7 linked regions of the Callithrix jacchus genome follow. The protein of the gene in region 6 purifies or fractionates together with the protein of the main gene of each other region. This does not show direct contact. Links are inferred from orthologs where the notes say so. Each region holds a gene or a part of one and is shown on either strand. Other genes may lie near its edges.

Region 1 (3,895 bases), on a different chromosome or scaffold from region 6:
AAAAATACAAAAAGTAGCTGGGCATGGTGGCAGGCACCTGTAATCCCAGCTGCTCAGGAGGCTGAGGCAGGAGAATCATTTGAACCTAGGAGATGGAGGTTGCAGCTGAGATTGCACCATTGCACTGGGTAAGAGTGCAAGACTCCGTCTCAAAAAAAAAAAAAAAAAAATGCTAGAATTACAGATGTGAGCCACTGTGCCTGGCCCTGATGGTCACTTTTAAAGAGACTATGGTGGTATGCCAAAGAAAAAAAAAATCTTAGAGCTTGGAGAATGAGAATGCAAAGAACAAGGCTGGGAAAATATTATTTAAGCATGTGTAATTATAAGAGGAGTTCAAGATAAAAAGAACTGGAGAATTAGTGAAATAAATGTGACCCAGGAAGACACTAAAAATTAATAGGAAATCCTGCATACCTTACTAAGAAATTAATCATAATTACATCAATTACAAGCAAATAATCATACTGACTCTGTATGATTATAAAGCACATATTTAAAACACACACCCTAAAACCTACTGAACTGCTTTTTCCTAGTTTAGGACTTACAGCATTTGCATTTTAAACAAACTTCCCACATATTTCTAACGTGTATCCATTAGTCTTGAGTTTGGGAACTAGAGACTAATATACTCCTTCAACTTTTTGGATAAAATTAAGGTCAGAGAGGTGCAAATGATTTGCCTAGCAAGTTAATGACAGAGTTTTCTTTCCTTTCCTTGCTCTGTCACCAAGGCTGGAGTGCAGTGGCATGATCAGCTTACTGCAACCTCGACCTCCTGGGTTCAAGCAATTCTCATGTCTCAGCCTCCCAAACAGCTGGGATTATAGGCACCCACCACCACACCCAGCTAATTTTTGTGTTTTTAGTAGAGACAGGGTCTCTCCATGTTGGCCAGGCTGGTCTCAAAACTCCTGACCTCAGGTGATTCACCTGCCTCAGCCTTCCAAAGTGGTAGGATTACAGGTGTGGGTCACTGCACCTGGCCTAACGACAGTTTTCTTATTCAATGTGCTTCGCCCTTCGGCTAGTATTTTTGAAACCCTATTTCCTAGCCTTTCTCTTGACATGTACCTTTCCCAGCTCCAATGCCCAACACTATTTAGGGGCATTTCACACCAGCATTTGGAGCTGACTGACAAGAGTATCTCTAAGGTGTTGCATTTCTACAAATGAATGAATGCTTTAAACTAAACATGACAGATAATATTCTTAGTTATAAAATCATAGTTACATTTACTTAGATGGAGAGTAAATTTTGTGCCTAATACCTTATAAGGAAGTCTTACTACACCCCAAGGTTAACAGCCTTTTACTTTTCCTCAACCTCTTCTTCAAACTTCACTAGATTTTTATGTCTTTGAACCTTTTCCAATGGCAAGAATTTGAAATCTTATAACAAAAATATTTTCAGATAGCTGAATCAGTTGTTACCACTTAATGAGGCAGGGCTTGCCAAAAGTCCTGAAAATTACTAAATTGTGTCACAACTGAACATAAATGATCATATTATATCTGACACCATATTAAAATCCCAATTTGAAAGAGCAATAGCCTTACAGGCAAACTGATGGGATTGTCTCTTATACACTACTTCAAAGAAAAGCAACCCATTATTTCAAACATGAACATTTCCACTAAATTTTTGAGTCTTTGCAGTTATCCCAAAGCAGAACTTGGGAATTTTTATATCCTAGTTTCTCAACCTTGGCACTACTGACATTTGGATGGATAATTCTTTGTTGTAGGGGACCATCCTGCACATGGTAGAATGTTTAGTATAATAAAAACATCCTTGGCATCTAACTGCTAGAGGCCAATAATACCCGTCCTCTTTCAACCAAATGTCACTGCTAAATGTGGGGGAATGGTGAGGTCAGTGGAGACCCATGGAAAATATATCCCTCCTACACACTGAGAACTACTATTGTAACAAAACAAAACCGTTCTATCTTAAATTCTCAGAAGCACAGGGTCTACTGAACCAAGCCTCTAAGGGTGTCTTGCCGGGCGCAGTGGCTCATGCCTATAATCCCAGCACTTTGGGAGGCCGAGGTGGGTGGATCACGAAGTCAAGAGATCGAGACCATCCTGGTCAACATGGTGAAACCCCGTCTCTACTAAAAATATAAAAACTTAGCTGGGCATGGTGGCGCGTGCCTGTAATCCCAGCTACTCGGGAGGCTGAGGCAGGAGAATTGCCTGATCCCAAGAGGCGGAAGTTGCAGTGAGCTAATATCACACCATTACAGTCCAGCCTGTGTAACAAGAGCGAAACTCCATCTCAAAAAAAATAAAAAGAGAAAGACAGCTGGGCACAGTGGCTCACACTTGTAATCCCAGCACTTTGGGAGGCAGAGGCAGGTGGATCATCTGAGGTCAGGAGTTCGAGACTAGTCTGACCAACATGTTGAAACCCCATCTCTACTAAAAATACAGAAATTAGCTGGGTGTGGTGGCATGCACCTGTAGTTCCAGCTGCTTGGGAGGCTAAGGCAGGAGAATCACTTGAACGCAGGAGGTGGAAGATGCAGTGAGCCAAGATCACATCACTGCACTCCAGCCTGGGCAACACAGTGAGATTCTGACTCAAAAAAAAAAGAGAAAGACAGAATAAACAGTTAAACTTCAAAGGAAAAGTTAAAAATATATATCCATAATAAATGAAGAATTCTAAGTGTAAATATATAGAAGATATATACAGATACACAAGAATGTCCATTATGAAAACTTCAAGTGTCCAAGCTGCTGTGCTGAAATTTTGCATCATAAACTATTATCCAAAATGAGTCAATGACTTCAGCGTTACATCATTGATTATTATTGAAGACTTCCGGTTTTGTTTTTTTTTTTTGAGATGGAGTCTTGCTCTGCTGCCCAGGCTGGGGTCAGTGGCTCGATCTCGGCTCAGTGCAACCTCTGCCTCCCAGGTTCAACTGATTCTCCTGCCTCAGTCTCCTGAGTAGCTAGGACTACAGGTGTGTGCCACCATGCCTGACTAATTTTTTGCATTTTTAGCAGAGACGAGGTTTCACTGTGTTAGCCAGGATGGACCTTTTAACCTCATGATCTACCTGCCTCGGCCTCCCAAAATTCTGGGATTACAGGCATGAGCCACTGTACCGGCGTCAAAGACTGTTTTAATTTTAAAATATAATTTGCTATCAAAGGAAGCATTAGATTAAATTACACCATACATACCTTCAAATTTGGCATTCACCATAACATACAAGTGCTCTCCCAGACAGTCACTTCTGTCCCTGGACAATGCATGTAAGCTAATGGTGGGGTATTCCAGCGAGAATCCTAATCCGGAGCCATCTAACCAAGACAGGCGGCTGAAAAACATGTTTTAAGTAGATTATTTTTAATAAATTCTAAAGTAATACCACAAAGTATATAAAAGTTTGGACACCTTTATGCATATAAATAAATTCAAGTTTACTTTTTTAGAAATGTTCATAAAATAAGAAAATTCAGTACTGGGAATTTAATTTTCTTTAAGATCATTCTGTTACGGTCTCTTTACCTCTAGCTAAAAATTAAAACAAACTTGAAATTCCATTTTCCTCAGTCACATGTATATTTCTATGACTTTCATGCTTACTCTTTTTTGGTGTGTCTTCAAGCACCCTCTTTGCTTTTGCAAATACTTCCCTTTTCCATGAGGCCTCCCTTCAACTATTCCAGTCCATAATAATCTCTTATTTTTCTGAATTGCAAATTATAGCACTTAACTCTGTGGTAATGAATATTATATGTGCCCCTTCGGAATGTGAGTGACTTGACAGCAGAACTGATCACATTCCGTTATTTAACATTCTTCAAAACCATTAGCAAAGAGCTCAGCAGGTAAATATGCAATAAATCCCTGGCAATCATTCATTTCTCC
Region 2 (3,895 bases), on a different chromosome or scaffold from region 6:
CAGATGTCAGGTAAAGGAGGTGTCGAATGAGCCCAAGCAGATTCCTCACTGTGGAAGTACATTCTGCAGCAGCTGGTCAGCGGGATGTCAAGTCTGTCCTTCTTCCCAGTCTCTTCTGTCAGGCAAGCTTCTTTGTTGCCTCAATTAGCAGCGCTAAAACGTGGTGTATCATGGTGAGAAGTAACTGGCCTTTCTGTGTATTTCTACCACACAGCATGGGAGTTTGTATCATTCTACTAAAGCATATGGGAGAAGCGAGCCTCCTTGATAGCTTTCCTCCACTAACTGTTACAGACAAGAGTGGTGGGCTGCCTACCTGGGGTTAGAAAGGGTTATATCCAAAGGGACACAGAATAATTTCAGTTTCATATCTAGACTCGGTCACGTGGAGAAGCACACACAGAGTGTTTCGAGATAGAATGGTAGCTTTCCTGTTTTCCTTATGCAGGTGCCTTCCATAATTTTCTTACCCGTCTAGTTTACATAGGCACTTCAGTAGGACATTAGAAATTTTTCAGATTAATAGAATTATAGACACTTGTCAACATAATTTGTGTTTGAGAAATAAGTTCACCTTGAGCAATCAGAAGCCCTAAATGAGGCATCTTACCTGAACAGGGTAAAGTGTTTGGTGCCAGTTTTCCATGCTTTGTGTCTGCCCTGTGAGGAAGCACCCAGGTCTTCGCCATGTGCTGTGTGATGTAAATGCATCTCAGATGTGCAATCTTTGTCCTGTTTTCTTTTCAAGGATTTTTAGACCCCGAGAAGAAGCTTTTTTCTCATCGAATATTATCGAGGGATGAATGTATCGACCCATTTTCTAAAACAGGAAACCTTAGGTATGTACCCGGCCAAGTTCATCACAGAGACTACTCGCTGTTCATTGCCCATTTTAAAAATCACATTTTGAGATTTAGACCAATATTCATATTGGTGTTTTTTAGGAGTTTCCTGTCCTCTCTCCAGTTTTCCTTGTTAGCCTCAGAGTACTGAGAAAATTCCTTTCTAACCTGTGCTCCTGCTGCCTCCCAGGCTGCCTGAGCCCTGGTGTTTGTACACAGCCCCTGATGCAGGCTCTGCCTGTCCCAACAGCCCTGCCCTGAAACCACCCTGGAGCTGGGCCTTGTGTCTGTGGAGGTGGGACTGTCGTCCTCTCTGCCTCGTCTCTCAGATGGCACGCATTTGATGTCAGCCTGCCACCTGACTTTGTGTATCTGTTTGCTTAACCAGTCTTGGCGTGTGTGATCGTTCTAGTCCCTTTAGCTTCAGATTTTCATTCCTGTGCAAACACCTGGCGCTGAGGTTTGTAGTTGGAGAGGTAGGAGGCAGTGTGCATCCCCACAGTAGCCAGGTGTGAAGCATTTGGCCTTTTTGCCTCTGAGTATCCAGGAAATGGCCAGGGCTTCTGGGGAACTCAGGGACTGACTTTCGGGCCCAGAACCCAGGAGGGCAGAGCCATGTAGGGACGCAGTGGGCATCAGGGAGGCGGCAGCCGTGAGGGCCTGAGTGGACAGAGGAATGTCCGTGACTCCATCCAACGTACAGATCTGCAGCTTTGTGGGGCTGCTGGTTTAGGGAGTGTTCTTAACGTCAGCATTGGCATCTGCGGTTTGTAATTTTCCTAGGAGCTTGCCTGTGTTAATCCTACTAATAATTTAGAAAACCCTAGGTCTCATGACCGTTTTCTCATATTTTTGCCTTTTGCCATTTCTTCCTTTCCATCAGTTCCAGAGCCCATCCCCGTCAGCTCCTCTGAGCTTTTTTGACACGGCTGGCCCCTCTCCACCCCTATGCAAGACTTTTGTATATTCTTTTATATTCTTTGATGTTTCTTGCCCACTCTGTATGAAGAGCTTCCCCATTTCCACCCGGAAGTCCGTCCTGCTGCCGAGACACCACGGCAGGTGTGGCTTTTTCTCCCGAGAGCCCTGGCGGTCACAGCTTCAGCATCAGTCACTTCCTGGCTCACGGTGGCCACCTGCCTCTCAGCATTTTGGTTTTTAGATTTAGGGAGTCCACACAGACTGTGAGGCCTATGCAAGCTAGTGTTAACTAAGAAGAGAATCTGAAGGTATTTACTTCAAAAACAAACCTTTTTGCTAGTGTGTGGCAGAGTGAGCAGCTTGATCGGAACGGAGAATGGGAGGTACTGACAGTGATTTGTTAAGGACAGTCGGCTGAAGCCAGAATGTAGGATGGGGACGTGCCCAGGATGGGCCCTGGTGACGGACGCTGTGGCTTGCATGGAGGTAGCTGGAGGTCCTCTTAGAAGTCCTGTATTGGCAGTGGGTCTGTGTTTTGTTTCTAAGATGGGTCTTGCTCTGTCACCCAAGCTTAAGTGCATAGTGGGGTCTCAGCTCACCACAGCCTCGACTTCCTGGGCTCGGGCCATCTTCCCGCTTCAGCCTTCTGAGCGTCTGGGACTACCGGTGCCTGTCACCATGCCTGGATAATTTCTGTGTTTTTTGTAGGGACAGGGTCCTGCTTTGTTGTCCAGGCTGGTCTCAGACTCCTAGGCTCAAGCTTTCCTCCCACCAAGACCTCCCAAAGCTCTGGAAATTACGGGAACGAGCCACACTGCGCCTAGCCCACTCTGTGTTCAGAGACAGCACATTCTGGCCTTTAGGCTCCTCAGCCGTGTTTGTGCATGGAACATGGCCGCACCCACGCGCTCGGAGTTGGGTTTTGTCCCTGTGGCTGGCCCATAATGCCTGAAGTAGTGACTCTGGTGCTTTAAAAAACGGTTTGAGAACTCCTGCTTGAAGGAGATCGGGAACAGTGGGGAAGCTGTTAAGGACGTTTAAATGTGACCCAAACCGAAAGGGCTTCGGGCCAGTTGGCGTCTGTTTCTGATTAACCTGCTGTCTGCTGGCTGCATGTGGATTCAAGTCTTAAACTGTTACGCTTGACAAAGTGAATGACTACAGCTTTTCATTGTTATTTTTTGTAAATTATGCATTTTCGCTTGTAGAAATCTCTTTCCTTGTGGAGACTCAATGGTTTGCATTATCGATGACCGAGAGGACGTCTGGAAGTTCGCCCCCAACCTGATCACTGTGAAGAAATACGTGTACTTCCAGGGCACAGGCGACATGAACGCGCCCCCCGGGTCCCGGGCGTCTCCGACAAGAAGGAAAGGTGGGCAGCCTGCTTCCTGATTCTTTGCATTTTATTTATCGTTTCTCTCTTCTCGTTTCTTGTCTATTTTGACTGCTGTGAATTTAAGATGCAGTTTGGTTTTGTTTGTTTGTATTTCAGTAGAGATTATTGGATTTATTTAAATAGTACTGAAAAACAGGATATTACGTTGTTTCAATTTGGGCCTTAAAAAATGGCCTTAACTTAAACATTTTCCCAGTTGAATAAAGACTCAAGAATGCTGTTTACTTAATACATCTGAGCAGCGCCTTTCATCCCAGTTTTCCTTGAATGTACCCCTGGGCATTTGTCCATGGCGTTCTGTAGAGAGCGCAAATGTGGGGTGCAGTGGCTCCATGGGGAGGAACCATTCCCAGTGCACGGTGGTCCGGCTGGGCGCTGGCCAGGGCCCCAGAGAGCGGTGTGGTTTAACATGTCAGGCAGGTGTGCAGCTGGCGTTCACCCTGTGAAAAGTTAAGTGTTTTTGATGTTTATTTTTTAAAAAGTATTTTGAGGCATACATTTACTGCTGTAGTCACTAAAATGGAACTTGGAGGTTAAGACCAGGAGAGAGGGGAACTGGAGGCATTGCCATAGAGGTGGGGACTCACCAGATGGTGAGTCCTCCGGAGCGACGTCCTCCGGAGCGGGGCTTGATAAACCGTGGCCATAGGGTGCCAGGTCTGCAGCCCAGAGCTGGGAAGCAAACCTCCAGTGGTCCCTGGAGGTAGAGGATCCCTCATCCCCCAAATCCAGA
Region 3 (4,052 bases), on a different chromosome or scaffold from region 6:
TGCCTTCCCTCCGCCTGGTAGTGCTGCTGACCTGAGCGAGGCTGAGCCAACCCTCACCCACATGAGCATCACCCGTTTGCATGAACAGAAGCTGGTAAGAGCCCAAGGCGGCTGGTACACTTGGCAGAGCATCTTGGTGCTCAGTGGACAACTGCATCCTGCCTCTGTCTACCGCTTGACTCCCATGATGAGCACCCACCAAGTGGGTTAGACCCCGGGTTGGATCCTCCCCCTGCTTCCTCTCCAAGACAGAAGGGCAGCGCCCCCTCTGAACCATCTCATCCACAGCCAGCCTCAGACCCAGAGGTGCCAGTGGCCTTTCCCCTTTGTGATTCCTTTGCATTTTTCTGTGGATCTCAGAAGCCATCCTAGTCACAGGGGAGGCTTGTAGGAATTCTCTGGGGACCTTCTGCTGAACACCCTCAACCAAGGCACCGGTAGGGGTTGATCTGCTTGGGTCCGAAGGGACCTGAAACATCATGACCCACAAGAGCATGGATCCAGAGCAAAGTGACCCTTGCCAAAGCCCCAAGCCACTTCCCAACCTTGCTGGGACGGTACAGCCTCTTGCCCTCCCAGCCAATCTGGGTGCATCAGGGCTGGAGGGAAGGGCACAGCGCCACCCACCATAGGCCCTCTTGAGTCTTGGTGGTTGGTCCTATTGTGTGTTGTACTTTCAAAGGCTCTCTGTGGGGTTGGAGTTGTTCCTGGTCTTGGGAGCCATCAGCTGGGTTCAGAACAGCCTCTCTGTGGCCTTGTTTTGATATCCCCACCCTCTGACAGCCCTTCCCATTCCACCTTCCAGGTGCAGCATGTGGTGTCTCAGAACTGTGACGGGCTCCACCTGAGGAGCGGGCTGCCACGAACGGCCATCTCAGAGCTCCACGGGAACATGTACATTGAAGTGAGCAGTCCTAAGGGGACCCGGGAACTCCACGGGCAGGCGGGTCCCACTCACTGTGCCCTCTCCTCTTCAGGTCTGCACTTCCTGCGTTCCCAACAGGGAGTACATTCGGGTATTCGATGTGACGGAGCGCACCGCTCTCCACAGACACCAGACAGGCCGGACCTGCCACAAGTGTGGGGCCCAGCTCCGGGACACAATTGTGCACTTTGGGGAGAGGGGGACGTTGGGGCAGCCTCTGAACTGGGAGGCGGCAACTGAGGCTGCCAGCAGAGCAGACACCATCCTGTGTCTGGGGTCCAGCCTGAAGGTGCGTGCCAACGACACCATGAATGAGCTGAGCCCCCACCTGCCCAAGGGTGTCCAGCTCTGCAGCCCAGCACTCTACAGCCTTGTCCCTTGTGTGTGTGCTGTGTCTGTCCGTCTGTTCCCACAGGTTCTAAAGAAGTACCCCCGCCTCTGGTGCATGACCAAGCCTCCTAGCCGGCGGCCCAAGCTCTACATTGTGAACTTGCAGGTATCTCGGGTGCTGAGAGCCACATGCTCGGACCTGGGCCTTAGAATGCAGAGCCAGAGACACCCATGCACCAGGGCAGTCTGATAGGGTCCCCCGTGGGTGTTCAGGGAGCAACGACCGAGGCCACCTGGGCCGAGGCTGACAAGCCACTAGGAAGGATTGGGCTGCTTTTACCCTCATTTGGCTTTCCCTGTCCTCAGTGGACCCCAAAGGATGACTGGGCCGCCCTGAAGCTACATGGGAAGTGTGATGACGTTATGCGGCTCCTCATGGCCGAGCTGGGCTTGGAGATCCCTGCCTATAGCAGGTGAGTGGGCCTCCGCAGCAGCCCGTTTACCCGCACCTCATGTGCTGGGCCTTGTCTGTCTTCTTTCATGAGCTGAGCGTGGAGGAGGCTCTGAGGTGTTCGCAGCGATGTCTGAGGCGTGACTGAGGCGTGGTGGTCTCCAGAGGGCCTGACCTTGGTGTTTGGCCGAGACTATGCATGGGCCACTCGTGCGCCAGCTGATGGTGCACAGAATCCCTAAGGGGAGAGGGATTCTGCCCGCATGCTGCTGCTCCAGGCCTCCCCATGGAGCTCTCTGAGATGCCTGGTGGGAAATGTCTCGAGGGGACGTGCACTCAGCAGTCTGGTCAGACAGAATCTGTGCTTGGTTTTGGGAGTTGGCGTATTTTGGGAAAGCTTAAACTTGTGCTTTAATACAGAATTTGTGCTAATTTAGACTTGGTGTATGTATTGAGTAAAAAGTTTACACTCTCTTTCTCTGTGAATTTTCAGGGTCTTATAGGGGAAATCAATAACTTCTTTTAATCAAAGGGTTCAAGAATTAAGGATCCCTTCGCCTTCTGGGCCTGGCACTTCTTGTATGTTATGTGTGTGGTGTTCTGTGATGTGGGCTATCGTGTACTGTATTTTTTTTTTTTTTACATTAACTTAGCTCATTTTCCTTATCAGTGCTTATCTGTATCTTAAGTTATGATCTGTGGTTCTACATCTCAGTAAGACACATGGTTTCTTCACGGTGTCGTCTGTAGGCCACGCCTCCCTAGTCAGCTGGGAAAGGGGAGAGGGTCTGGTCCACCTGCCCCTGGCCTTACAAGTCAAAGGTGGGGCCCAGAGTTGCTAGTGACTCATCCCTGGAGACGGAGGCAGCCCTGGGGCCACTGCTGCCCCGCCCTGTGTGTGCACGCTGCTCAGTGGTGGATGAGGACACGGAGTTCTGAGGAGACCAAGCTAGCTAATGTGGGCACTGACCTTTAGTGACACCTGAGAGGTGACCTCTCCCACATCCGTTCTGCAGCTTGGTAACAAGCTGCCACCAACTGGAGCCCAGCCGCGGTTGACACGGGAGGGAAGGGGATGGGAAGGCAGGGACCGCAGACAGCTTTCCCGAGCTGGGGAGGGTGTGACTTCGAGAGGCTCCCAGGCCTGCCTGATGCAGCTTTCCCTTTTTGGCAGGTGGCAGGATCCCATTTTCTCACTGGCGACTCCCCTGCGTGCTGATGAAGAAGGTAGCCACAGTCGGAAGTCGCTGTGCAGAAGCAGAGAGGAGGCCCCACCTGGAGACCGGGGTGTACCACTTAGCTCAGCCCCCATTCTAGGGGGCTGGTTTGGCAGAGGCTGCACAAAACGCACAAAAAGGAAGAAAGTGACGTAACCTGGTGCTCAATGAAGAACAGCTGGCACTTTGCAAATGGCCAGTGTCACGGTGAAGGCTGGGTTGTCCCACAGGTCTAATGAGAACTTTGGGGATGACGTTTTCACCATGACATCTTTAGCCATTTGTCCTTGCAGAAGCCCCTTGCACTGCTGCGGTTGTCTCCTGATACAGCTTGGCCATCCTCTATGTCAAGAGGTGGCAGCCGCCCCTTTCTGTGAGAACGGAACTCGGGTTATTTCAGCTCTGGCCCGCAGAGGAAGCGCCCAGCTGCCTTCCCTCATTCACCAGGCCAGTCTCAGGGCCTCACCCCATTTCTACTACTAATGAAAAAGTGTGAACTTTATAAAACCCTCTTTCTGTACTGAATGTGCGGTGGAGGGATGGCTCCGAGCCTCGGCTCTATGCAGACCTTTTTATTCCTATTAAATATTTCTCTGCACTGGCCTCCAGTGTCCGCGAGTGGTTGTCGCGGGCTCCCCAGGCGCAGGTCCACTGCCTGGCAATGTGGTCCTGGCTTAAAAACTCCACAATGATGAATATTATTATGCCAAAAAATAACAAGGAAAAAAAAAACCCTGCTTGGGACAGCGCCCCGTGGGGGTTCATGGAGGCGGCGGCGGCGGCGGGACCCCCCGCGCTCCGCACTGCCAGGCCCGCCCTTTGCCAGGAGTAGGCGGTGCGGAGAGGCCAGGTGTGGGCAGGGGGCGGGGCTCTGGCCGTGCGTGTGGGGGGGCGGGACCGTCGGGGTCTCACGCTATTGGCCGTGCGCGGAGGTGCGGTGGGGCGCAGCCTTCGAGGGCGGGGCACGGTCCGGAGTGCCCGTCGCGGGTCCGGGACGGCGGAGGCGGGACTCGGGTCGGCGGCTCACACCATTGGCTGTAAGGAGCGGGTGAGGCCCGCGTGACGGCGGTTGCGCATGCGCCAGGCGGGCGGCGGCGCTCGGAGTCGCCGGGAGCTGCCAGGCTGGCTG
Region 4 (4,469 bases), on a different chromosome or scaffold from region 6:
TGCCTGCAAACCCAATACTTTAGGAGGCCAAGGCAGGTCGATCACTTGAGGCCAGGAGTTTGAGACCAGCCTGGCCAACATGGTAAAACCCCATCTCTACTAAAAACACCAAAATTAGCTGGGCAAGGTGGTACTCACCTGTAATCCCAGCTACTTGAAAAACTGAGGTATGAGAATTGCTCAAACCCAGGAGACAGAGGTTGCAGTGAGCTGAGATCGTGCCACTGCACTTCAGCCTGGGCAACAGAGTATCTATCTCAAAAAAAGAGAAAGAGGAAGAGGAAGAGGAGAGAAGAGTTTCCACAGTAGTGGGGGCACCAAACAACTTCTAATTCTACATTTCCAGAGGCACCACTATATCCAAATCAACCAACTTAATCCTGTAGGACTTATCCAAATGGCCATCATTTCTAGAACTTTCCCAAAAAAAACCTCACCTTTCTAGGGTCTGTCATTTTAATACCTATGGATGAATACATCCTCCCCTTGATTCTCCTTCATGGTCCAGTATGTAGCAATCCTGTCTAATTAAATAAAACAAGTTTAATTTATACTTAACTGCCTCAGAAAAATACAAATAGCAACCTTTGAATATTATTCAGTCTTCCAATTAAAAAGGATACAAAATCTCTAAGTTGTCCAAATATTTCATCCACTTTTCCAATTTGTTCTTTGTTTTCTAAGTAAACAGGAGCATTGAAATAAGGCACTTTATTTTCATCTGTGGTACATTTACAAACTATGTCATCTTCACAGGGATGGAGGAACTCTCCTAACACTGAAATAGAACAAGAAAATGTTAAAACATAGAACTATTTCAAATGATACTGACGAACTTCTCCTGGAAGCTTTCTTTTTGGCTACCAGCACTTCACCATATCTGCTCTCCTGTGAGGCAGAAGACCACAGTCATTAAGAGTGTGGACTTCCTGGGCTGGTTTACAGACTCCACAACACACTAGCTCTGTGACCTAAGAGAAGTCACCCACCCTCTCTCTAATTCAGTGTCTCATCTTTAGTATGCACTAATACCATATCATGTATATCTACACCTAAAAGAGTATTGTAAGGACTAAATGGAATAACAAATGTCAAGTGCTTAGAATAGTGCCTGGCACACTGAGACCATTCAACCTAAACAGTTATCTTATTATAACGTATTATCTGATTCAAAACTCTGCTTCTTTCTTCTGATTCTTCCTTGTCTTCAACCCCCACTGAATCAGACTTTGTTCTTTTTTTTTTTCTCTTGCCTTTCAACTTTCACATTCCCACTACCAACTCTTTAACAATGATTCATTTTTTTAAAGGACATCTGGAGTCTCAAAATAACTACCTTTATTTCTAACTAACTAGAGTATCACCCAAACTTAAATACTTACCACATTCCTGCAAAACCAACTCTCCATTCCCATCGCCCAAGCTCAAAACCTGAAACTTTTTATTGCCAGTATTAGCTAAGTTCTACTGATTTTGTTTCCTTTGAAATCTTTCCTATCTAACCCTTCCTCTTTTTCCTCACTGTGACCATCCTGAATCAGGCTCTCAATGCCTCACGTATGGACTGGTGCAACAGCTTCTGGGCTGGGACCTTTTATTCTAGACACTGCTCCTTTCAAATCCTCCTTAACTAGACACTGTTCATCCTCTCTCATCTTTAATGTAGTAGGCTTTACTTTCTGTGACTTCCATTCCAATCTCATTGTTAATTACTCGAAAACTGCCCTAAATGGGTCTTTTTCTCGACTTCCTCACTGGCAGTTTCCCTCTCAAGCAAATTTTTTTCTCACTTACCAACTTTTGAGTAGTAACGAAAGCATGGGCTGTGGACTCAGAATACTTGGCTTTGTATTTCTTTCTTTTCTGTACAGACAGGGTCTCTTGCTTATTGTCCAGGCTGGTCTCTAACTCCTGGCTTCAGGTGTGAGACACCGCACCCAGCCTGTATTTCAGCTGTATCACTAACTGATAACTTATCACTAACCTTAAGACCCTAGCAAAAAAAATTAACTCTGAATCACGGTTTTCTCATCTGTAAAATCAGGGAATTAAGGATAAGTATTCACTTGCTATCTTTAATATCTTCTTGTGAACCCTCAAGTTCCACCTCCATGATGCATTTTAAGTATCCCACAGCTTTCTTCATCTCCCCATCCCACCTTTACATGTACTGTACGATTATAAGTCAGTTTACATCATTTTCCACACAGGCTTGTGTATCCCAAACTTGCTGACTAATAACACAAACCCACAACCCACCTCTACTCCTTCAAATAGGCTAAATGTTGAAGACTACATACAGACTACACGTTCTGGAGGTCCTTGATCTTGGCCTTTGTTAAAGCCTCCGCGGCCACCCCCTCGGCCAAATCCTCCCCTGCCGCCGCCTCTGAAATTGCCGCCGCCTCCGCCACCGCCTCCGCCTCCACCTCGGAAGTGGTTGCTGCTGCTGCCACGGTTGAAGCCGCCACTTCCACCACCTCGATTAAAGCCTCCACGACCTCCGCCTCGAAAAGACATTCTCTCTCCTCCCTGGTGAAAAAAAATGAGCAGTTATCTTCTGATCACTGTAGCCTCTGAGTACACTCCAACCCCTTGGAGCCGCAGTCAGAAAGGGACAATAGCAGCCCTGTCACGTCACCCACGGTCAGACCGCCAGTGACCAACCTCTAGGGTGAAGAGTTTACTTCCCCATGAGTCTCCGGAACGCCGACCGACCACAGACCAGCCTGGCCGCCCCAGGATTAGTAACTCCTCCTCACACAGACAGCAAGGTCTTCACACCGTATCCCCTTCCTTCCTCCCTCCCTCTGGCAGCTGGGTTCCGCGTCCAGCATTTTCAGATCCTCCGGCTTCTACGGCAACTCACCGGCGCCACGTGCACCTCTGGCCCTGGCCTTGCGCGCGCACACACCCACCCGCTGGGTACTTCCGCAGCACTGGAACCTCCTCGGCTACCGTACCGCCAGAGTTTTTTTTTTTAAACCCACTTTTTTTTGGCAAGCCAAAAAAAAAAAAAAGCCAGTCACCGGCGGAACCAGCAACACTTGGTTCCAAAACAGTCTTCAGTGCTGGAAGAGTGGAATAATATCGAACCTTAACGACTAATTTACAACCATGAGGTCAAAGTGCCTAGAGTGGAGCAGCGGAAGTGACGTACAATAGCGGCGTCCTTCGCAGCACGACATCCCGGAAGTGCTGCGGCAATGTTGCTCTTGGAGATAGTTGGCGTTAGAGATCCGCCCTCTCTACCGGGGGCGGGGCGGGTGCCAGTTTGGTTCCAGCGCTGACTGCCGGAACGAAAGCACCTTGCAGGAACAAGGTTGGTTCTTAAGGTTCGTGCCGATTAACGGGGCGCACTTGCTTCTCACGAAATTGTCCCCAACCGCGCTCACCAGTTTGTTGCTAACTTCAGCAACTGTGCAGACGGGTCTCTAAGGTTTCTGAGCCGCACTCTTTTCAGTGGATCTGGCTGTGTCAGAACCTGTCACAGCCGGCGGAAGCGTTTATCTGAGTTTCTTGTTTTTTCTCGACCTATTGATTTTCGCACAATTGTGGGTTGAACTGTGCCTGTTATTCTGTTCTGTGGTCTCACTGATTAGAGGAAGAAAAGCAATGTGTGTGTTTATTTAATTTTTTATGCTGTATTATAGAAAACCAAACCATCTTTTTTATCTTTGTACCAGGTATTCATTCAAGTATGTTTTAAGCACCGACAGGCTGTGAACCACTCTGTGCTCGATGCTCCTCTCCCTCTTCTCTCCTTAAGCCCTTTATATTTGACATCAGCTTCCCCCACATTCTCCAGAGCTTCTCTCACAAATAAAGGTAGTGACCTTCCATTTATTAAATGTGGTTGGAGTCTTTTATACCCAAATCCTCTGAGACCTTACCTTGATATTTGACACAGCTGACTACCTCGTGTTTAGAATAGGGTTGAACTTGGTACCTATCTAATTGACGGGGTTATTGTAAATGGGATTTTAAAATACCTTTGTAGGCAGGGCGCAATGGCTCACGCCTGTAATCCCAGCCCTTAGGAGGCCGGGGCTGCTGGATCACTTGAGGCCAGGAGTTCGAGACCACCCTTGCCAACACGGTGAAACCCCGCCCCCCTACTAAAAATAGAAAAATTAGCCGGGCATGGTGATGCACACCTTTTATCGCAGCTACTCAGGAGACTGAGGCAGGAGAATCGCTTGAACCCCAGAAGTGGAGGTTACAGCGAGCCCAGATCCGCCACTGCACTCCATCCTGGACAACAGAGCAAGACTTGGTCTCAAAACAAACAAACAAAAAACAAGTGAGAGAGGAAACTTCACTTTTTCTTTTTCTTTTAATTTAGTAAAGGTTGCAATTTGATTTTAATGAATGTCGATCTTTTATGGGCCTATATATGCATAAAAGTATTACTTTTGAAAGAAAAAAATGAAAATTACCTATTTAATGTGAAGTTTTTGGTTGTCTTT
Region 5 (4,476 bases), on a different chromosome or scaffold from region 6:
AGAAACATTTGAGCCTGAGAGACACAGAGAAGGCCAAGTGAAGACAGGGGCAGACAGAAAGCAGAAGACTCCATGTATAAGTCAAGGAACTCCAAGGACTGGCAGCAGCCAGCAGAACCCAGGAAGAGGCACAGGACACACAGAGCCTCCGGAGCGAGCCAGCTCCACTGACAGCCTCAGTTCAGAATCTGGTCTCCTGAACTGTGAGAAAATCACGTTCTGTTGTTTTAAACCTCTCAGTTTGCAGGCGTTTGTTACAGCCCCAGGAAACAACAGCATTTGCCTATTTACTTTGTTTACTGTCTCCCTGAGAGCCACGAATTTTGTGTTTTGTTCATTTCTGTGAGCAGAAGCAGGCACAAAGTATATTGTTAAGTACTTAATATGCGCCAGACCTGTTTTTGTTTGTTTTGAGACAGAGTTTCGCTAGTTGCTCAGGCTGGAGTACAATGGCGTGATCCTTTGCCTCCTGGGTTCAGGCTGGAGTACAATGGCGTGATCCTTTGCCTCCTGGGTTCAAGCGATTCTGGGATTACACCACTGCCGGCTAATTTTATTTTTTTGTTTTTTGTTTTTTTTGAGACGGAGTTTCGCTCTTGTTACCCAGGCTGGAGTGCAATGGCCGATCTCGGCTCACGGCAACCTCCGTCTCCTGGGTTCAGGCAATTCTCCTGCCTCAGCCTCCCAAGTAGTTGAGATTACAGGCACGCGCCACCATGCCCAGCTAATTTTTTTTGTATTTTCAGTAGAGACGGGGTTTCACCTTGTTGACCAGGATGGTCTCGATCTCTTGACCTCGTGATCCACCCGCCTCGGTCTCCCAAAGTGCTGGGATTACAGGCGTGAGCCATCGCGCCCGATCGCCAGGCGCTGTTTTAAGTGCTTTTTACATAGTTTCACTCATTTCATCCTCACAGCAAGCAACCTTTTGGAGCAGACACTACTATTATAACCCATTTTACAGCAAACTGAGGCTCCGAGGGGCGTGGTCAGGATTCCAACCCACTAAATGATGTTCCTGGATAATTACAGAATTAGAAAACTAGGAGTCCGAAGGGCGACCTGAGGGACGTCCCAATCACCACGAGACCTCGCTGTCTCTAAGACTGCAAACGAAAGGCATTAACTGGCTTTGCCCACAGCGTGGAGCCCGAGACCGACGGCTTCACCTGCGCATGCGCTTACCCACAAAACACCCCGCGCCTGGGCGCGTTGCTCCGCCCCCTTTTGCATTACAAGTCGCGACACTTTACGGCTCTATTCCTCGTTCCTCCGGCGGGAACGCGGCCCGCCCGCCCCTTTCGCCCAGAGGGCCCCGCCGTGTTCCGCGTGGATTGGTTGGCCGCCCTTCGAGCCCAGTGCTGACTGGCTCGCGTGTCTGCCACTTTCTTTCAGCCTAGTGGCGCGCGGCGCTGCGACGACCGCCGGGAGCGTGTGCAGCGGCGGTGGCGGAAGTGGCCGGCGAGCCCGGTCCCCGCCGGCACCATGGTGAGGGCAGGGCAACGGCGGGGTCTCATCGGGAGGCGGGAGCCGCAGGCGTTGGGAGCCCTCCGGGCGGGCGCTGACGGTTGGGTTGGCGCGGGGTGAACGTAGAGTCAGAGCCTCGCGTTCCGTCTCCCGGCACGAGGCTGGGAAACTGAGGCTGGAGACTGCAGATGGCTCTAGGACGTCTGTGTCTGAGATTTAGGGTTGCACGGGCTTGTATCCGTAGTACAGCGGGCTCGCTTTACTTAGTTTTTCCCATTTTTTCCCCTCAGGTGGGGAAACTGAGGTCAAAAAAGGTGGGGGCCCGCCAAATGCAAGTTTTTGGGCAGGGAAGGGGCCCCGAACGCTTCGGGCCCGGTCAGACCTCCCAGATTGAAAATTAGAGTGCTGGGAAGTAGGGGGCCAGTCTGAGTTGTGAAACTTAGCTTTAGGAATTTCAGAGCTTGCAAGATGCATAAAATGCTCGCAGCACAGCGTCCTAGGCCTGTTGTTTTCTGTCTGAAAATCGGGCCTGGTGCTGGGGTGTGGTCTTTCTCCTTGGGTCACATAGCATGTCATTCCAGGGGAAGGGGGCATTTTGAGCAGGAGTGGATAAAGTGCATCCTCCCAATACACAGAAGGAAAAACTGAGGCCCAGGTCTCTGCAGGGCCAGATGTTTGTGATTATGGAAGTTCTGGATCTGGGCCAGAAAGTGCCCGTGTCCTCAATGTGCAGATCGGAAAACGAAGTCGGAGCTGGGAATTTCCTGGCCCATCAGCATCTGGCGCTTCTTTTTTCAGGGAGAGAAATCTAGGCCTTTGTTGGGGATGTGACTTCCAGACTCTGTGAGACAGTGGGAGATTTAGTAACCAGGAGGGACCCACAGGGGTGGCTGCATCAGAGCTGAGGATTAGTAAGAGATGCTCCCTAAATCCTGGGGTCAGTGTGTAACCACCCAGTGGGTTCACTTAGCCTGCTTCCTAGACAGAGCCGATTTATCAAGACAGGGGAATTGCAATGGAGAAAGCAATTCACACAGAGCCAGCTCTGCAGGAGACTGGAGTTTCACTCTTGTTGCCCAGGCTGGAGTGCAGTGGCACAATCTTGGCTCACTGCAACCTCTGCCTCCCGAGTTCAAGCTTTTCTCCTGCCTCAGCCTCCTGAGTAGCTGGGATTACAGGCGTCAACCACACCATGTCCGACCAATTTTTTTGTATTTTTAGTAGAGACAGGGTTTCACCATGTTGGCCAGGCTGGTCTGGAACTCCTGAACTCAGGTGATCCACCCACCTCAGCCTCCTGAAAGTTCTGGGATTACAGGGTGAGCCACTGTACCCAGCCTAGGGGATCCGAGTTTTTAAGATGATTTGGTCGGTAGGGGCTCAGGAAGTGGGGGGTGCTGATTGGCTGGAGCTTCCTGAGGTTGGAGATGGAGTCCTGAGGAGGTCGAAGTGAGATTTTCTTGCTGTCTTCTGTTCCTGGGTGGGATTCTGTCCGTGGGTGGGATTGCGGGACTGGTTGAGCCACATTACTCGTCTGGGTGGTGTCAGCGGATCCACCTAGTACAGGGTCTGCAAAAATATCTCAAGCACTGATCTTAGATTTTTATAATAGTGATGTTATCCCCAGGAGCAATTTGGGGAGGTTCAGACTCTTGAGCCAGAGGCTTCGTGACCCCTAAACGATAATTTCTAATCTTGCAGCTTGTCAGTCCTCCAAAGGCTGACTGGTCCCCAGGTAAGAAGAGGGTGTTTTCTGGAAAAAGCTATTACCAATCTTGTCTCAGAGTCAAACTATAGACTGAATTTCTTCCCAAGGTTAGTTCGGCCTATGCCCAGGAAAGAGCAAGGACAGCTTAAAGGTTACAAGCAAGATGGAGTTGCTTAGGTCTGATCTCTTTTTGCTGTCATAATTTCCTCAGGTACAGTTGTTGCGAAGGCGGTTTCAAGTGCAACAATTCAGAGAAGGGAGCCGGCCCCTCCTGCTGTGTCCCCGAGGGCAGAGTTGGAAGGGTCCATCCTGTGACAAGTTTTATGGAAGCAGGATCTTCATTTTTCTTCCCTCTATTATTCCCACTGTGTAGAACGGTGCGTGGGCAAAGTTAGAACTCATTCATTCAGCCCGTCCCCACCTTCTGAACATCCAGAGTCCCCAAGTCCTGGCTATCCAGGCGTTTCCTGGAGGAGTGGCCAAGAATGGACGAGGCGGGCCAGGTGGAGTGGCTCATGCCTGTAATCCTAGCACTTTGGGATGCCGAGGTGGGTGGATCACCTGAGGTCGGCCAACATGGAGACACCCCGTCTCTACTAAAAATACAAAATTAGCCTGGAGTGGTGGGATTACATGCTTGTAATCCCAGCTACTTGGGAGACTGAGGTAGGAGAATCACTTAAACCCAGGAGGTGGAGGTTGCAGTGAGCCTAGATTGTGCCACTGCACTCCAGCCTGGGCAACAAGAGTGAAACTCCGTCTCAGGGGAAAACAAAAAGAATGGACAAGGCCTCATGGGATACACACTTCCAGTTCCCTGTGGTCAGGGTAGGACTAGGAGTGACCTGGGTTAGCAGCCGGGGAGGGCAGTCCTGGAAAGCTTCTGGAATTAGGAGCCACTGGATTTAGTCCTCATGGGTCTAAACCTGAGAACCAGACTCCAGGTGTTCCAAGAAAGCGCAGAGAAAGGAATTCTCTTTTCTGAATTTTCTTGTGATCTTCCCTGAGCCAGGTGATGGGGCCGCTCCCATCACACTTGGCACTTTTTTCTTTTTCTATTTCATTTTATTTATTTTCTGAGACAGTCTCGCTCTGTTGCCCAGGCTGAAGTGCAGTGGCACAATCTCGGCTCACTGCAACCTCCACCTCCCTGAGAGCGATTCTCCTGCCTCAGCCTCCCAAGTAGCTGAGATTACAGGCACGTGCCACCACACCTGGATAATTTTTGTATTTTCAGTAGAGATGGGGTTTCACCATGTTGGCCAGGCTAGTCTTGAACCCCTGACCTCAGCCTCCCAAAG
Region 6 (3,895 bases):
ATCTTGAACCTCTGAGTATTTACCTTCATAAAATGTCTGTTTTCTGGTGAGAACCGTCACTTTCTTAATGCCCCTCTTTCTGCTCACTTTCGTTAACAGCACTAGTGGTTGACTTTCTCTTGGGAGCCATTCTTTGTGCAGATAATATCTGGAGCCTTAATATGCGCATGGCTATGAGATTTAGGTGCTGGGTGATCACCGTGGTTCACTCCGTGGCCAAGTGCCTTTCCCTGCCGTTTCTGACTTCAAAGTGCATGATTCAGTTATAGGCCAGAGAAATCACAGACTCATATCCAAGGTCCAGTGTGCTGGACCTCAGGGTCACTTTCAAATAGGTTTACAATAATATTGAATGCCCATCTGGGTGTAGTGGCTTACCACTGTGATCCCAGCACTTTGGGAGGCTTAGGCAGGCGGATCACATGAGGCCAGGAGTTAGAGACCGGTCTGGCCAACATGCCAAAACCCCATCTCTACTAAAAAGTACGAAAATTAGCCAGGTGTAGTGCTGCGCATCTGTAATCCCAGATTATACTTGGGAGACTGAGGCCTGAGAATTGCTTGAACCCTGGAGGCGGAGGTTGCAGTGAGCCGAGATCATGTCATTGCTCCCCAGCCTGGGTGACAGAGTGAGACTATCTCAGGAAAAAAAAAAAGTCAATGTCCCCTGTCTATTATGTTTGCTTTTTATTTCTTAGACATATGATGTGCCTTCCTGGTTAATATTAACTCTTTTTCATTACTTCAGCCATTCATCCCTTAGTTCTTCGTGTTTGTGTCTTATTCCCCTTGCTGAATTCCAAATCCCTTCTTATTTCTTAATTTTTTGTACAGAGTCTTGCTATGTTGCCCAGGCTGCTCTCAAATTCCTGGGCTCAAATGATCCTCCCACCTTGGCCTCCCAGAGTGCTGAGAGATTACAGGCATGGGCCACCGCACCCTGCTCCAAAACCTTTGGCGGTAGAGGAACCATGCATTCTTCACCTTTTGTACACCACCATGGTGCTTGCCCCAGAGCTTTGCTTTGTTCAAGTGAGCAATAAATTCCTTTTCTTACTTCTTATTCTGTTGGCTTCCTGTGAATTCTAGGGCTAGGAAAGAACTGTGGAAGTCAGTAAAATTCCATCCTTCTGCCTCAGGGAGGGGCCACATTCAGACTCCCTGGGAAAGTCTGGTAGAATGACCGTAGAAGAGTTTCGCAGTTTCTAATTAACATGTAGCAGTGACTTAAAGTTTTTTACATGTAGACCTCCCAAAACAATTTTGAAAATCGATGCCCCCTCATACATTTTTAAACTGATACCTAAAAAATTTTAAGTAGTTGCAGAGAAGGTAACTTCTGGCATATAATTTATTACATACTTATTTCAGGCATACATTTGTCAAAATTTTAGATTCCTAGTTAGTTTGTACGAATGTTTGCCAGATAGCCTAACTGGCAAATGCCAATGTGTGTTGAAAAGCCAGTGGACCAAGTTAGACTAAGTTTTCTGTCAGAAAAAGTCTGACTTTGTTACCACATTCAGATAAAGTTGTTGAATATGTCCTTATCACAACAGTCTGTCATATTTCTTAGTTCTTGTCATTAGACAAGAGTTAAGTCACAGAACCATACTTGTGTTTGTGATATGACTGAAACAAGATCAGCCCCTTCACTGAATTTTACCCAGATGCTCCTTTTGCTCTTTGGTTCTTAGGGAAAAGCCCCTTTTGTCCCTTAGTTTAGAACCCTTATATTTTTATACCCCTGAGCATTGTACCATGGAAAGATCTGGGATAAATGACAGGTATCTGTTTCTTCTATAAAGTGGGAGAAGGGTGATGGTGAAAACAGAGGCAGTTCAATTTTAGGAAAGAGAACATTGAGAGAAATTGGCGCTCTTAATGCTATTAGCGCCCAGAACTCCCTCGCAAGTTTCTGTATACTACTTGGAGGTATGTGTACTCCATCCAGCATGAAGACTGCTATTCTAGGATTATTTAGCCCTCATGTCTAGGAGGTCTTAACTGGAAATTCCTTTATTATTCTTACTAAGCCCCTAATTTCTCATTCCCTGTCTTTACTAATACTTTTCTTTACAAGACTTTTTAGGTTTTATAGGTCTGTAAACTTCTCCTCTTAGCTTCTGTCTAATCCATAACCTACCACAAAATTTGTTAAATTGCATCCTGAGACCAACTCTTCCTCCCTCCTGTGCCTTGATTATTCCTGGGCTGGCCTTCTTGTAATGCTTCGGCTTGTTTTCTGTCATATTTATCTTTCTCTCTACTTTTCAGCTCATGCTGCGCAGGTCACCTGTGTCGCTGCTTCTCCCCACAAGGATTCTGTGTTTCTTTCATGCAGTGAGGTGAGAGATAGCTCCTTCTTCCCTAAACACACTCCAGTCCTCCATAGGCCACAGTCTCTAGTGTGGAGATTTTCTGGCCTACAGCTGCTCCTTTGGATTGTGAAGTCCTTTTTCTTTTCCGCCTCCCTCTAGGACAATAGAATTTTACTTTGGGATACCCGCTGTCCCAAGCCAGCATCACACATTGGTGAGTCTGAGATTCATTGGTGGGAGAATAGTACTTGGAACCCCAATAGAAGAGACTTTCTTTGGCCAGTGTCAAAGCAGATTTGCCAGATTCCCGATCTAGTTACTGTGACATGAGTAACATAATCTCCTTCTTTTCCACTGAGGCTCTCCTAACCCCATTCTGTGCACTGAATACCAAGAGGAAGGGCCAGTTCCTGGGTGGGTTATTTATTTTATTAGGTGGGAGGACAAAGGGGCCAGAATTGTTATCTTCATGACTGTGTTTGAAACTGGCCTGCGACTCATGTCCAGAAAGCGCAGGAGGCTGGTGGATAAATGGTTATGAGGCTGAAGGATGAGGACATTGCTGCCTTAGCAGGGTTTGGGAACTCCAATAAAGGTGCTCCTAGGATTTATAGTGATGTCACTTGAGAAAGTGCTTCTTCTGGGCTCTGAGTTTTAGTCCAGACCCTCTTCTCTTTGCAGGTTGCAGTGCCTCTGGCTCCCTTCCTACCTCACTGGCTTGGCATCCTCAGCAAAGTGAAGTCTTTGTCTTTGGTAAGGCAGCATGTCAGACTTCATATTGACTCTGGGAAAGGGGAGGAGGAGAGAAAAAGAGCTGACTCCACAATGCACAAGGCTCTTGCTGCTCAGTCTTATCAGCACTCGTGGACGCTAGATGAATATGAATTAAGGGTGGGGAGGTGGGGGTGATGCTAATGTAGTTTTACTGTAGCTTTGGAGAACATTTTTTTTCCCAGTGGATTTGATTTTTGATTGATTGATCCAGCTCCGGTATTCTGGGCATGGCTAGAAGTCAGAGAGCCACAAAACAAGTGGGTTGCTGTATACGGAATTCTCTTAGACTGTGGGTAGGTGTAGGGCTATTGCGGTCATGAGGCTGTGCATATGGTGACATGGTTTGTGGTTAAAATAATAACTCCTTCATTCATTAACTTAATTTTCACAATCGTCCAGTGACTTCTTATTCCTACTTTGCAAACCAGAAAACTACTGCACCAAAAGAGAAAACTGACTTTGGCTGGCACCAAGTCCATGCTCTTAACCACTGTGACATGTTCCTTTCTCTTCTACAGGGGACGAAAATGGGATGGTCTCCCTTGTTGACACCAAGAGTACAAGCTGTGTCCTCAGCTCAGCTGTACATTCCCAGTGTGTCACTGGGCTGGTGTTCTCACCACACAGGTACTGGTCTTTGTTATCAGGGGCCTGATGGGTATGAATGGGAACAGTGAGGGGGTGTGTGTATATTTTCTTTCTTTTTTTTTTTGAGACGGAATTTCGTTCTTGTTACCCAGTCTGGAGTACAATGGCGCGATCTCGGCTCACCGCAACCTCCGCCTCCTGGATTCAGGCAA
Region 7 (4,386 bases), on a different chromosome or scaffold from region 6:
TGAGGCAGGAGAATTGCCTGAACCCAGGAGGCGGAGGTTGCAGTGAGCCGAGATCGCACCATTGTACTCCAGCCTGGGTAACAAGAGCGAAACTGTCTCAAAAAAAAAAAAAAATTCAGATGACTATGCAAAAGGCCAAGTTGTGCCATGAGAAGGACACCATATCAGGAAACTACTCCATTATTTATTATCAGTGATGAGTCCTTTAATCTCACTCTCCCTATTTTATGGATGTCAAGACTATCACCAAACCTGCTTACCTCACAAGGTAGTTGCAATAATCAAATGAGATTCTCCCTCCAAGAGAAAAGGGAAACAAATACAGTATGGGAGAAGATTCTGCTAACCACAAGGCAAGTGAAGGCAAATGGATAATGGCTCTGAATCTGAAGAATTCTACTGAAGTAGCACTTCCCTCAAATAGGCCCCCAACTCTGGGGATGGAAAAAACAAAAAGGACAAAGTAAAATATTCCAAACCTCCAATGGCTTTCCTGCCTCAAGACTGTGCCTTGTTCATGCCCACATTCCCAGAGCCTGTAACAACAGTGCCTGGCATGCATTAGGCACTCAGAAAATCATTGCTGAAAAATAACAACAACAAAATAATAAGAAAAATAAAAATAATAAAAAACAAACAAACAAAAGAAAATCATTGCTGAATGAGAACAATTTTTTTTCAAAGACCCCCAACCCACACCTTTCCGTTCCTCTGAGACACAGGTCCATTCCTCCCACATAGCCTCATGTGCAAAGCAGGATACCTGGCAGTTCATGTTGTCCTCTGCCTCAATGAGCTTCCCACGATATACCTCGCCGGTGTTCGTTTCGCATGTCACAATGTGTCCCTCGGCCTCATGCAGTACTTTAATCGGCACACCAATAGACATCTTGGCAGGAAGAGTTCTAATGAGAGAGGCAACAGTCAGTTCATCATTCAGAGACTGAGAAGGCATGCAGCACATACTGTGCTTCCTTCAAGGCCTAGCCCTCCATAAAACTTAGCAAAAATGCCAAAACTGAATTTTTTTTTTTTTTTGAGCCAGAGTCTCTCTCTGTTGCCAAGGCTGGAGTGCAGTGGCACAATCTAGGCTTACCACAACCTCTGCCTCAAGGGTTCAAGAGATTCTCCTGCCCCACCAAGTCAGGCTACTTTTTTAGTATGGGGTTTCACCGTGTTAGCCAGGATGGTCTCAATCTCCTGATCTCGTGATCCACCCATCTTGGTCTCCCAAGTGTTGGGATTACAGGCGTGAGCATTGCGCCCGGCCCAAAGCTACATTTTCTACAAAAACAAAAACAAAATAAAATAAAACAAAACAAAAACAACTCAGCTCCTGGCTTGGAGGAAACTATCTGGCAAATATGTGCAAGATGTGGGGTGAGAAGGAATGGTGGGCTGGACAGAGATAAAAATAGAAATGAAAAGAGAGCCTCTCCCATCAACCACATGTCCCTACTACCCTATGTCCCTTAATCTTCATCTAAATGACCATTAGCGAATACTGTTCGTGTTGCGGAGTGGGGGTTAGAATGTTATTTGTTGCATTGTTATTGTCAACCGTAATTGTACATGATTACATTTTGAAAATTATATAGGCCTGAGCTGTCCAATACAGCTCATGTCCACATGTAGCTATTTAAATTAAACTTACTTAAAACAAAATAAAATTAAAATAAAAAACCCAGTCTCAATCCCAGTGGCCATATTCCAAGTGCTCAATGGCCATATGTAGCTAGTGGCTCCCCTATGGAAGGTGCAGATACAGACCAAAGGACCCATGAACACCTAGGAGAGGGGGCTGCACTTTTAATTCAGCCCTTTAACCCCTCACTTACTTTACCATCAAAGATGAGGAAATATCAAAGTGACAATATGCTCTATTCAGGAAATGCTTGTCATGGAGGAAAATCAGGGAAATCACCTGATTTGACCTAATTAAAAGAATCAAGCAGCCAGGCGTGGTAGCTCAAGCCTGTAATCCCAGCACTTTGGAGGCCAAGGCGAGCGGATCACCTGAGGTCGGGAGTTCAAGACCAGCCTGACCAACATGGTGAAAGCCCGTCTTTAAAAAAAAAAAAGAATCAAGCAGTGAACTTTTTATTGAGATAAGCAACGACTCAAAGTTGGAACGTAAGTGCACTTAACAGAGGAGAACGTGAGGTTGAAGAAACAGGTTCCTTTGGTGAGGATCCCTTGCTTTCAGCTTTAGGAGTCTACATTTTATACTGAAAATAGTGGGGAACCACTGCACGATTTTAAGTAAAGAATGACGTAATGAAAAAAGCAGCAGCACTGCCGGGCGCAGTGGCTCACACCTGTAATCCTAGCACTTTGGGAGGCTGAGGCGGGCGGATCACCTGAGGTCAGGAGTTCAAGACCAGCCTGACCAATATGGTGAAAACCCGTCTTTAAAAGAAAAAAAATTTTTTTTGAATAAAAAAAAAAAGTGGCAGCATTTATTTATAAAATGGATAGAATGTAAGGTTTAGAAGCAGAGAAACTTGTTAAAACTTCTGCAACAGTGTGGAAACCATGAGGGGACCACTACCTGAAAGGGGGCTGGAGGCAGAGATGCAAGTAACTTTTAAAAGAATGATCGGCCGGGCGCGGTGGCTCACACCTATAATCCCACCACTTTGGAAGGCCGAGGCCGGTAGATCCCTTGAGCCCAGGAGTTCAAGACTAGTAAGGGCGACATGGTGAAACCCATCACTACTCCAAAACAAAAAGAAAAAATAAACAGAAAAAAGCACTCACAGGATTTGGGGAAAGGAGACAGTCAACCAGAAATGACTTCAAGATTACTGCCTGGAAGCTCTGAAAAACACTGACCTGGAGAGATACAAAAAGTGAAAGCATGCACGCTGAAGCTAATGAACTTACTTCTAGGCGCTAGTGAGGCGATGCTCGCTGATGTCTGGGTGGCCCAAGCTTCCCGCTTTCTTCCCTCCCCGAGCCCCGCAGAGTTCCATGCAGCGAGTGGCCCCTCGACCCCCCCTTGCCCGTCCCCAGCCTCACCAGCTCCGGCCTCCTTCTCCTCTTCGGTGCGGCGGCAAATGAGTCTACGGCTAAGGCGTGAGTTCAGCGAATGGCGGGCCCAGCTCCCAGAATTCCAATCGTTCCCAAAATGCAGCGCGCAGGGCCCACCTCCTTCCTTTCCCCATTGGTAAGTGCGGTCTCGTCTCCGCTTCCTCTTCGCTGCGCCCGCCGGCTGGGAAACTAGGGCACCGCTACGATAGTTCCGGCACCAGAAGAGACGGCTGATAACTGGGCCCGAGGGCCGCCGGAAACAACGACCCTTGGGCCGGCAACGAGCCGCAGAGGGTGCTCGCACTTCCAAGCACCCCACACCAAGGACAGGCTGGACTGCAAGGCGGAAACCCGGGGCCTGGGCCGTCAGACCCGGGGCCTGGGCCGTCAGACCCGGGGCAGCAGGAGGTTGGGCCAAGGGCCAGGACTTCCCCCTCACAATTTAATTTTTTGATCCCGGCACCGCTAGGTAAGGGGCGCCCTGAGCGGGGCGAGGTATCTCGTACGGATAAAATTAGGTATAGAGTAGGGCGGCGGCCGGCTCAGGATCATCCCTAAAGGCAGTTGAAAGAGAGTTGTGGCCGGGCGCGGTGGCTCATGCCTATAATCTCAGCACTTTGGGAGGCCGAGGCGGGTGGATCACGAGGTCAAGAGATCGAGACCATCCTGGTCACCATGGTGAAACCCCGTCTCTATTAAAAATACAAAAAATTAGCTGGGCATGGTGGTGTGTGCCTGTAATCCCAGGTTCTCGGGAGGCTGAGGCAGGAGAATTGCATGAACCCAGGAGGCGGAGGTTGCGGTGAGCCGAGATCGCGCCATTGCACTCCAGCCTGGGTAACAAGAGCGAAACTCCGTCTCAAAAAATAAAATAAAATAAAAATAAAAAAATAAAAAGAGAGTTGTTTGGCGCTTCGGCAATGCATTGGGCGGGACCGGTGCTTACACCTAAGGCTGCAAAGGAGCGGGTCACGGCAGAGGCGGAGTTTGCTGAAGAGACGAACCTCTAGGAAGCATCTGCACTAAGTGCACGAGCTTCGGGGCGGGCCTCAAGGAAAGGGGTGGGGCTTCCGGGGCCCGTGTCCTGGTGGGCAGCGCGTCTACGCGAGGATTGGGCGACGGGGCGGGGCCACCCGACGCAGAAGCGGCAAATGGCCGGGGCGGGCTTAAATCGAGAGACTGGGGGCGTCTAGAATCAAAGTTTGGGGCGGGGCTTATGGAAGGGGCGGGGCCTTTAGATTCGCGAACTAGAAGGGCCGGGGCGGGCCTTGGGGAGGCCCAGCCGCCGCCTCCAGTTCTCCCCACCGCATCGGCGGCGGTGGCGGCGGAGGAACTGGAGACGCACCGGCCGCC

Evidence for each region.
Region 1: the proteins of WDR77 (region 6) and CLNS1A purify together in Homo sapiens (affinity purification with mass spectrometry; 6 studies listed by BioGRID and IntAct, with this or other methods). This does not show direct contact. The link is inferred for Callithrix jacchus from reciprocal best matches to the Homo sapiens genes WDR77 and CLNS1A.
Region 2: the proteins of WDR77 (region 6) and CTDP1 fractionate together in Homo sapiens (co-fractionation; 3 studies listed by BioGRID and IntAct, with this or other methods). This does not show direct contact. The link is inferred for Callithrix jacchus from reciprocal best matches to the Homo sapiens genes WDR77 and CTDP1.
Region 3: the proteins of WDR77 (region 6) and SIRT7 purify together in Homo sapiens (affinity purification with mass spectrometry; 3 studies listed by BioGRID, with this or other methods). This does not show direct contact. The link is inferred for Callithrix jacchus from reciprocal best matches to the Homo sapiens genes WDR77 and SIRT7.
Region 4: the proteins of WDR77 (region 6) and GAR1 purify together in Homo sapiens (affinity purification with mass spectrometry; 3 studies listed by BioGRID and IntAct, with this or other methods). This does not show direct contact. The link is inferred for Callithrix jacchus from reciprocal best matches to the Homo sapiens genes WDR77 and GAR1.
Region 5: the proteins of WDR77 (region 6) and LSM4 purify together in Homo sapiens (affinity purification with mass spectrometry; 3 studies listed by BioGRID and IntAct, with this or other methods). This does not show direct contact. The link is inferred for Callithrix jacchus from reciprocal best matches to the Homo sapiens genes WDR77 and LSM4.
Region 7: the proteins of WDR77 (region 6) and SNRPD3 purify together in Homo sapiens (affinity purification with mass spectrometry; 3 studies listed by BioGRID and IntAct, with this or other methods). This does not show direct contact. The link is inferred for Callithrix jacchus from reciprocal best matches to the Homo sapiens genes WDR77 and SNRPD3.

The regions. Positions count from the first base shown.
Region 1 is NC_133511.1:62,973,059-62,976,953, reverse strand, and holds part of CLNS1A (methylosome subunit pICln), read right to left. Parts: intron 3,342-3,895; coding exon 3,205-3,341; intron 1-3,204. UniProt on the Homo sapiens protein: Involved in both the assembly of spliceosomal snRNPs and the methylation of Sm proteins.
Region 2 is NC_133514.1:121,977,374-121,981,268, forward strand, and holds part of CTDP1 (RNA polymerase II subunit A C-terminal domain phosphatase), read left to right. Parts: intron 1-748; coding exon 749-839; intron 840-2,971; coding exon 2,972-3,138; exon of another isoform or gene 3,139-3,602; intron 3,603-3,895. UniProt on the Homo sapiens protein: Processively dephosphorylates 'Ser-2' and 'Ser-5' of the heptad repeats YSPTSPS in the C-terminal domain of the largest RNA polymerase II subunit. This promotes the activity of RNA polymerase II.
Region 3 is NC_133506.1:137,508,803-137,512,854, reverse strand, and holds the end of SIRT7 (NAD-dependent protein deacetylase sirtuin-7), read left to right. Parts: intron 1-21; coding exon 22-94; intron 95-805; coding exon 806-904; intron 905-977; coding exon 978-1,214; intron 1,215-1,340; coding exon 1,341-1,421; intron 1,422-1,621; coding exon 1,622-1,728; intron 1,729-2,199; exon of another isoform or gene 2,200-2,285; intron 2,286-2,880; coding exon 2,881-3,079; 3' UTR 3,080-3,526; downstream 3,527-4,052. UniProt on the Homo sapiens protein: NAD-dependent protein-lysine deacylase that can act both as a deacetylase or deacylase (desuccinylase, depropionylase, deglutarylase and dedecanoylase), depending on the context. Specifically mediates deacetylation of histone H3 at 'Lys-18' (H3K18Ac).
Region 4 is NC_133504.1:87,430,861-87,435,329, forward strand, and holds the start of GAR1 (H/ACA ribonucleoprotein complex subunit 1), read right to left. Parts: upstream 2,911-4,469; 5' UTR 2,838-2,910; coding exon 2,763-2,837; exon of another isoform or gene 2,668-2,762; intron 2,533-2,667; coding exon 2,301-2,532; intron 779-2,300; coding exon 624-778; intron 1-623. UniProt on the Homo sapiens protein: Required for ribosome biogenesis and telomere maintenance. Part of the H/ACA small nucleolar ribonucleoprotein (H/ACA snoRNP) complex, which catalyzes pseudouridylation of rRNA.
Region 5 is NC_133523.1:17,038,581-17,043,056, reverse strand, and holds the start of LSM4 (U6 snRNA-associated Sm-like protein LSm4), read left to right. Parts: upstream 1-1,423; 5' UTR 1,424-1,485; coding exon 1,486-1,488; intron 1,489-4,476. UniProt on the Homo sapiens protein: Plays a role in pre-mRNA splicing as component of the U4/U6-U5 tri-snRNP complex that is involved in spliceosome assembly, and as component of the precatalytic spliceosome (spliceosome B complex).
Region 6 is NC_133508.1:149,397,569-149,401,463, reverse strand, and holds part of WDR77 (methylosome protein WDR77), read left to right. Parts: intron 1-2,277; coding exon 2,278-2,348; intron 2,349-2,480; coding exon 2,481-2,535; intron 2,536-3,002; coding exon 3,003-3,074; intron 3,075-3,613; coding exon 3,614-3,722; intron 3,723-3,895. UniProt on the Homo sapiens protein: Non-catalytic component of the methylosome complex, composed of PRMT5, WDR77 and CLNS1A, which modifies specific arginines to dimethylarginines in several spliceosomal Sm proteins and histones.
Region 7 is NC_133502.1:195,106,437-195,110,822, reverse strand, and holds the start of SNRPD3 (small nuclear ribonucleoprotein Sm D3), read right to left. Parts: upstream 3,118-4,386; 5' UTR 3,022-3,117; intron 2,836-3,021; exon of another isoform or gene 2,761-2,835; intron 906-2,760; 5' UTR 890-905; coding exon 764-889; intron 1-763. Other genes in the region: protein GUCD1, read left to right, coding at 4,250-4,386. UniProt on the Homo sapiens protein: Plays a role in pre-mRNA splicing as a core component of the spliceosomal U1, U2, U4 and U5 small nuclear ribonucleoproteins (snRNPs), the building blocks of the spliceosome.